Linked DNA regions of Coturnix japonica. The protein of the gene in region 1 interacts with the protein of each later gene in a pairwise test. Links are inferred from orthologs where the notes say so. Each region holds a gene or a part of one and is shown in the gene's direction. Other genes may lie near its edges.

Region 1 (4,058 bases):
CTAAAGTGTGAGAGTCATGTTGATGGGGCAAACTCTTTTTGGTAGTGAGCAGCAATAGAACAAGGGGCAATGCAGCTGGAACTCAAAGAGTTCTGTACTAACATGAGGAAGATCACAGAATCACAGAATTGTAGGGGTTGGAAGGGACCTCTAGAGATCATCGAGTCCAACCCCCCTGCCAAAGCAGGCTCCCTACACCACGTCACACAGGTAGGCATCCAGGCGGGTCTTGAATATCTCCAGAGAAGGAGACTCCACCACCTCCCTGGGCAGCCTGTTCCAGTGCTCCGTCACCCTCACTGTAAAGAAGTTCACTTCGTCACTGTGAGGATGATAGAGCCCTGGGACTGGCTGCTCAGAGAGCCTGTGGAGTTTGTTCTCTGGAGAGATTCAAGGCCCCTGTGGATGCCTTCCTGTGCAACCTGCTATAGGGTTGGACTCCATGATCTCCAGAGTTCCCTTCCAACCCCTACAGTTCTGTGATTATGTGATTTTGTGACTGCCACTTCCTGGTTTTTATATGCATCTGTTCTCTGGACAGCTCCATATTTGTTCTAATGGAGGCTAAACTGGATTTAGGGTGAATTTAAGATGTTAGAGCCTTCCAGGGCTCTAAGCATGTGCCAGATGGTTTTCTTGACCAAACCTGGACACCAGAATACACTTCTCCATCCAATCCTTGGGCAGTATCATGTTCCATACTGGTCCCTGTGTCTAAATGAAGGTGAAACTTCAGCATAGGAAGTTCCACATGAATGTGAGAAATAATTTGTTTACAGTGAGGGTGACGGAGCACTGGAACAGGCTGCCCATGGAGGTGGTGGAGTCTCCTTTTCTGGAGATATTCAAGACCCGCCTGGACGCCTACCTGTGTGACGTGGTGTAGGGAGCCTGCTCTGGCAGGGGGGTTGGACTCAATGATCTCTAGAGGTCCCTTCCAACCCCTACAATTCTGTGAACTTCTTAAGCCATGGTGTGCACTGGAAAACGGTGTGAGTGGCACAGCCGCCCCGAGCCTCACATACAGCAGGGGGGGCCTGTCCTGCTGCGCCTCCCGCCTCCGCCAGAGGGCGCCATGGCGGCCGGCAGTCACGAGACACCGGCGGCAGCTGTTGCTGGCAGGGCGAGGCAAGATTCCGGGGAGGGGCGCTACCATTGGCTGGGGGCGAGAGCTGCGGGCACTCCCATTGGCTGTCGTGCGGGGAGAGGCGGAGCGCGGTCATCTATAAATGGAGGCGGAGGATGCGCAGCCGGCGCAGTTGGCGTTGGATCGGGGTTGTTGTCGGGTGGGAGCCGTCTGCTTGCCGAGCGCCGCCGGGACATGCTCGCAGCCTGACTGACCGCAGGTGGCCGCCGCGCCCGGGACACGAATGAAGAAACAGCTGCTCCTCCTGTTCACACACCGGGGACTCGTCAGCCGAGGGGGCCGCAGGGGGAAACGCCGTCGAAAATGGCTTCGTTCAGTATCCGCGCCGCGCGTCCCGAGGACTGCTCAGACCTGCTGCGACTGATCAAGGTGCGGGACGCCAACGTTAGGCCAAGAGGGATGGGGTGGGGGGGGGTGGGATGGGATGGGGGGGGGGGAGAGAAGGAAAGGCGGCCGAACCCGGGGAAGGCGCAAACAGGGCGTTGCGCAAGGCCGAGGGGGGGAGGGAAGGAGGGAGGAGGGGTGATGGGCCCGGGGGAGGCGGCTGACGTGTTGTGCCGTTCCAGGAACTAGCCAAGTACGAGGACATGGAGGATCAAGTGGTGCTAACCGAGAAAGGTAGGCTTGCAGCGACTGCCCGCCCTGCTGCGGCTCGGTGCCGCCGCCCGCATCTGAAGGGTCCCGTTTGTTTTGCTCTCGTAGAGCTGCTGGAGGATGGATTCGGTGAGCACCCGTTCTACCACTGCCTCGTTGCGGAGGTGCCCAAAGAGCAGTGGTCGGCTGAAGGTGAGATATTGCGCCGCTCGTTTGTTCTTTTTACATAAGAGATGCCTTGTGCTTATTGTGACCTACCTGACTTGAGGTTCCAGCGAGGAGTCGGGGCAGGAGGAACAGGCTAAGCTTAAAAATGGCGATAACGTAGAGCCGTGCTGTTGTGAAGTAGTTGCTAACCTCGGAGATGCTGGATGATCAGGTGTAACAATGTACTTAATGCCAAGTAATTAAATGGCTTTTCTTGTTTGACCCTAACTTAACCTTATGTAATCCTGTTGAATCACATGTTTTCTTTAATTTGTCCCCAATCTTCAGGTTACAGTCTCTAGCTTCGCCATGTACATGGCCCTTCTGTGTACATGGATGGGCGGGGAGGTAACTAAAAGATCCGTTACACAATAAAGTAGATGATCATAATATGAGGTAAGGTCTACAGGGACAAGTGCTATTCCCAAACCTTTACCAAAGACACAGTAGATCAGAAGTTATTGCACGCTTCCTTTAGAGTATGTGCAGAGTATGATGGTAGACATTGCGATTTTCAAGGCTTAGATTTGAATATGTTATTGCAGGAAGAGCTGGTTTCTCTTCCCTGTTGAGTGGTGCAGCTGTACTTGAAGCTGCAGTTCTATGTAGCTTGATTTGTTGGTGCTGAATTCAAAACAGCACAATACAATCAGTGTGCACATATGTCAGCGTATCAGAAATGTATCAGAATGTACCAGTTGTCTTTGAGCATGTCTTCTCTCTACTGAGCAATACATTGGAAGATGAACCTTCTGTAGAGCTTTGTAGCTTGTCGGGGTTGCCAAGCAAGGCAGTGTTGGGGCGGTTACCTAGGCCTTGGACTGCTCTGTATTGCTTTGTATTCCAGAAGGGAAGTGCTGATAAATCAGTAGGGTATGTATTAGTAGAAATAAAGCCTTTTTGTTCACTGCTTATTATAACATTGCTCTTGAGCGTTTCAGGGTGTGAAGAGGGCAGTCTTCCGTTAGGTTGATGCCAGTTTATACTGACGTTTCCAGTTGTGCTTCATTCTTATTCTAACCTTATAGCAAACGGCTGCATGTCACTATCTGTATATTTAAATATGCATGTAAGACTTAATGCAAATCGGTAGCTTCAGACCAGCTAAAGCTGCGTGCTTTGTTTCAGGGCACAGCATCGTGGGCTTTGCTATGTATTACTTCACTTACGATCCATGGATTGGGAAGCTGTTGTATCTTGAAGATTTCTATGTGATGGCTGAATACAGAGGTAAGTACTATGGAATCAGACAAGCTGCTTCCTACAGAGCTACTTTAAAATTGAAATTGTCTTGCTGTTTTTTCCTTAAACTGTATATTTTTGTTGCTTTTTCCCTCAGGACTTGGCATTGGATCAGAAATCCTGAAGAATCTGAGTCAGGTATGTCTGAGTGTTAAGTCTAAATGAACAGCACTGGGGATGCATGATGGAGCAGTAGTCTTGATTTTCTGTTAGCTGCAATCAAGTTTCTCCTTGAGCACTACACAGGATTAGCATTGATGAGTTACTAAAAGAGAAATGACAGAGCTCCAGGCAGCCTTAACCACTGCCTAGAGGCTGAACTGAGAGATAAAGTGAACATCATGACTCGGAGCAATCTGCAGCTGGTGCTGCTTAGCATCAGACCCGCTGACCTGTGTTTGCGTTCCTGCAGGTTGCTGTCAAGTGCCGCTGCAGCAGCATGCACTTCCTAGTGGCAGAGTGGAACGAGCCCTCCATCAGGTTCTACAAGAGAAGGGGCGCCTCCGATCTGTCCACTGAAGAGGGCTGGAGGCTCTTCAAAATCGACAAGGAGTATCTGTTGAAGATGGCAACGGAAGAGTAGTGAGAGAAGATTCCAGCAACTAAACTCTTGCAATGAATATACGCGCTCTCTGAATAAACCCCTTCTTGCTTTCTGTGTTGGTAGTGGAATAAAATAGAGTGGATGGTAGTACTGTGCAACCATGGTCATAGAGTAATTGGTACCGTCAGCTGGAGCGGAGGCATCTCAAGTTGAATACGTGCTTGTATCCATCCTTTTACCAGTGTGAACTTGTAATCTTTGTATATGGAAACTTCATTCTTGTAAGTGGCATTCAAATGTGTACAATGTACACACTGGTAGGGT
Region 2 (4,043 bases), on another chromosome or scaffold:
TAAGCCGAAATGAGTCGGATCGCCGATAACGCCGTCGGGGAGAGGGCGGCGGGGGGGTGGAGGGGAGGCGGCACGCACACATACAAGCGGTGCTATAAGCGAGGTGTGCGGGGGGGGGAACACCGTGACTGGAAAGGCGAGGGATCCCTTTTTTTTCCCCCCCTTTCTTTTTCCACAGGCAATAAATTCAGGACTATAAAAATCCAAGAAAGCTAATGTAAGTTTTATTAAACTCTTTAACCGTCGCAAGTCGGAGGCACTCCGCAACAAAGCAGAGTCAGTGGCGCTCGGTATTTCACCGGGCTTGTAAAGTTCAATGAAGGTTTCTGATTCCAGCGACGTGGTGAATCACGCTGGTTCGGCTCCAGCAAAGCAACCCCGACATTATGCCGCAAAACACGTGAAGATGAATTCATACACGGAGCGGTTTTTGGATGCGATACGGATAGAAGCACTCAGCCGAGGGCATGGGGAGGGGGAGCAGGGAGGAAGGGGGGGGATCGTGTCTGCAGCTCGCTGCTCCGAGCCGTAATGTCACGCATATGCCACTCACATTTGAAATTTCATATTTGCCCCCATGATCGTACCACGTTAGCATCCATTTTCCGATGCCAGAGGGTTTGTTATTTACAACACCCTCCCACGACTCTCGCTTTTCCTTCCCAAAACGCATCTGTATGCGCATCGTGTGCATGTCGTGTAATGCACACACGAGTATGTGTGTATACGAAACCACTGGGGTGCGGGTCGGAGGGAGGGGGGGATGGGGGGGTAGGGGGGGTTGATTTCTATGTATTTTCTGCCTTTTGGTTTTTGTTTTTTGCTATCGTACTCTGGAGCCCGAGTGGCAAAGAATAGCTTTTATCTCCCATTCCCCCATGGTGGTTATTAAAGGCGAAGTGAATACATCAGCATCTTTCATTAAAAAACAAGGAAAAGAAAAGAAACCCGGACCCCCTCCCGGACCCCCCCCCCCTCCATAACAACAGCAAAATCTACGTAGGGAGATATCAGCCCCAGCTCTGCCCGTTTCGTGGCTTTTCTAAACTCCTGACGTTTTGCAACATTGCATAAACATAAAACAATCCATCCTTGATATGGAATGCAAGGGCGGATGACAGCGCAGCGCAGCCCCCTCGGCTTCGATTGATTTACGCCGAGACTGACGCTTTATCAGGCACACGAAAAAAGTTTGACCAATCATTTTGCTGGGAGCTCACAACACAGCAGCCCAACTGTACTTTGTTGGCTAGGAAGTTCGAGAAGGGGGTAGAGTACAAATCTAGATCTGTCCTATATATTTTTTTTTTCCCTTCATTGAACCGTGCTTTGTATGATGTCTGAGAATGTCCATTTCTGGGACTCTTAGCAATTACTATGTCGACTCTATTATAAGTCATGAAAGTGAAGACTCGCCTTCAGCTAAATTTTCATCTGGGCAATATACGAGTTCCAGGCAAGCTGGGCACAATGAACATCTAGAATTCCCCTCTTGTAGTTTTCAGCCAAAACCTCCTGTTTTCAGCGCCTCCTGGACTCCTTTGAATCCACATTCTTCTGGTACCCTTCCTGCCGTCTACCATCCATATATTCAACATCAAAGCGTCCCATCTGATAGCAGGTATCTACGGAGCTGGCTGGATCCAGTGCCCAGAGCAGAGACCCTCCCCGGGCAGGGATCTGTTAAGGCTGAGCCGCTGCTGGGCCGTCCCGGGGATGTCCATAAACAGGGAACACAGGAGTACAATTTAGAAACTTCTGCTGCAAGGGAAGGGATCGTTTCCAATCAAAGGCCCAGCTTCGAGGACAATAAAGTTTGTGAAGGAAGCGAAGACAAAGACAGAACAGATCAAAGTAAGTTATAAAAGTGAGGAAGTAAACAGTATAAAAGCTGGAGGAGGTGCAATAAAAGGGGACAATGCTGCGTAAAGTTTAAAATCAGGGCTTAAAGAAAACTCTCAGATGGCTGATGCCAACCTAAGGGGAGAGGTGGGGAGGGGAGAGGGGTGGCATTGTTTCTGGGGGGAAATACAAATAAATATTAAAACGAGAGTCGTCTCCGACCAAAACAGAGTCCAGAGAGGACAAAAGCTGGATCGAGCCGTCCTCCTTCCTACAGAACGCTGACTCCGGCAGCGGAGATCATTGCTGTAAGAGGGAGTGAGGGAGTGCGGGGCTGCGGGTGGAGAGAACCGAGGGACTGGAGGGGGGGGAGAGTGCGGGGAAACGCGGGGAGAAGGGCCGGGAGAGGAGAGCGGAGGTCGGGGGAGAGAAGGGAAAGGGAAAATCGAGGAGGAAAAGTTCACGTGGGGGGGAAGTAAACAGCGGCGGGGGCTTTTCCGTGCCCGCTGAGCTGCGCTGCGCCGGCAGATTGAAGGCTCGGGGCTCCCCTTCACCTCGGGGTTTGTTGTTTTTTTGCTGCCGTGGGTGTATTTGTCGTGAGCGTTTTGCTTGGTTTCCTTTTTCCCTTTTCTTTTGTTTTTATTCTTCTTTTATTATTATTTTATTTTATTCTTTTTTTTTTTGCACGCCTCCGCTTCTTTCTGTTTCCAATTACTCGTATATTCGTGCCTCACTTCAGGGTCTGACTGTTCCAAAGCCGAAATATCACTATTTCCAAACTCCCTCCGAGTTGAGTTAAAAAGAGAGAGAGGGGGGAGTGCTTCCAGCTTAATTAGCTCTTTATTTGTAACGTAGCCAGATTGGAGAACAGCTAAACTTCAGCCTGTGCCTTTTTAGTGACCTGGTTTCTCTTTTATTAGCCCTAAAACGCAGAATGAAGAATCGTTTTGATGTGTTTAATAAGATTATGGTTAGTGCTGCTTGTAATACGCGTTGTTGTTGTTATTAAAATGACGCAAGAGAGTTTGAGTGTGTAAGAATGGGGGGTCTTCACCCCGCACCGGTTCGGTTGGTACCCGGGGTCCATCTGGGAGGTGAAAGGGCTGAGAGGGAGAAATTTGGCTCCAATATCGCGGCGAATGTTTGAGCAATGAAAGGCGAAGTTGTTGCGGAGTGTTGGGTTGGAGAGGGCAGAGAAAGCCCCCGCTAAAGGTACAGCGTGCGGAGCGTGTGCAGGACACCCTGGCACAGTCATTCCGTGAATTAACTTCATTTTGGTTTTTCCACCCCATCTCAACCCCCCCTTCCCCCTCCTCAACCCCTCACCCAAGTGTAGGAGCAACAGTACTGAAAACGCGGTGTATTCCCCCCTCCGTGTGCACGATGGTGCGGGGGCATTCTTTTTTTCCCCTATCGTTTGGCTTGCACCGTGCACACTCACTCACACACACACTCACACACACACAAAAAGAAAGTCCTGTTCTATTGTGCTGGGCAGAGATCCAGAACAAACTGCAAGCGGGAGGTGAATGGTCGGAGAGAATGAAATATCCAGGTTCTGTGCTCAATGTCCCTGAAATTCAATATAGAAAAGCCTCGTCCAAGAAAATGTTATTAAGTCCTAAGTAAGCGCAGGGACCAGAGCTAAGAGGATGCAGTGTGGTTTCTCTATGGCGTGTGGTTACGACGCATATTTTGTTTTAAATAATAGTTTAATTTGGGCTAATGTGGAGAGGCTGCCAGGGCTGGGAGACGGAGCTGTTTTGCAGCGAGCACTCCCACCCATTTCCCTGACTCTTTCAATTTTTTGAAAGTATTTCACAATAATGAATCTCTAGGCCGGTTATGGCACCGGGATCTGTGAATTTATTTGCTAGGTTTGCAGGAAACCATGTGCCAGAGCCTCCCCTCATTTGCTCGCCCATTCAGGAGGGTGTATACAGTCAGTAAATAAAATACCCGCGTTTCAAATGCCTCCGATTTTAACGATCCGAGATGCGACCGAAAAAATAAAAGAAAATAAAACCCGACCAAATAAAAATGCGTTATGAAGCAGAGCCCTCCGTTGCCATTAAAAGATGGGTAGCAGGATTAACAGTATCAATTATTAACAGCTTTCTTCCTCTTTAATATTTAATTCTGCATATTAGATCGAGTCAATTACATTAAGGAAATAGCAGCGCAGATTCGGAGGAGGCAGT

The links. The genes of interacting proteins can lie anywhere in the genome.
Region 2: the proteins of SAT1 (region 1) and HOXB9 interact in binary tests that used the Homo sapiens proteins (3 or more experiments, as listed by UniProt). The two-hybrid records come from large-scale screens. The link is inferred for Coturnix japonica from reciprocal best matches to the Homo sapiens genes SAT1 and HOXB9.

What each region holds. Positions count from the first base shown.
Region 1 is NC_029516.1:107,414,889-107,418,946, forward strand, and holds the start of SAT1 (diamine acetyltransferase 1), read left to right. Parts: upstream 1-1,236; 5' UTR 1,237-1,450; coding exon 1,451-1,516; intron 1,517-1,713; coding exon 1,714-1,933; intron 1,934-3,076; coding exon 3,077-3,178; intron 3,179-3,287; coding exon 3,288-3,328; intron 3,329-3,602; coding exon 3,603-3,773; 3' UTR 3,774-4,058. UniProt on the Homo sapiens protein: Enzyme which catalyzes the acetylation of polyamines. Substrate specificity: norspermidine = spermidine >> spermine > N(1)-acetylspermine. This highly regulated enzyme allows a fine attenuation of the intracellular concentration of polyamines.
Region 2 is NC_029542.1:3,139,308-3,143,350, forward strand, and holds the start of HOXB9 (homeobox protein Hox-B9), read left to right. Parts: upstream 1-1,193; 5' UTR 1,194-1,346; coding exon 1,347-1,854; intron 1,855-4,043. UniProt on the Homo sapiens protein: Sequence-specific transcription factor which is part of a developmental regulatory system that provides cells with specific positional identities on the anterior-posterior axis.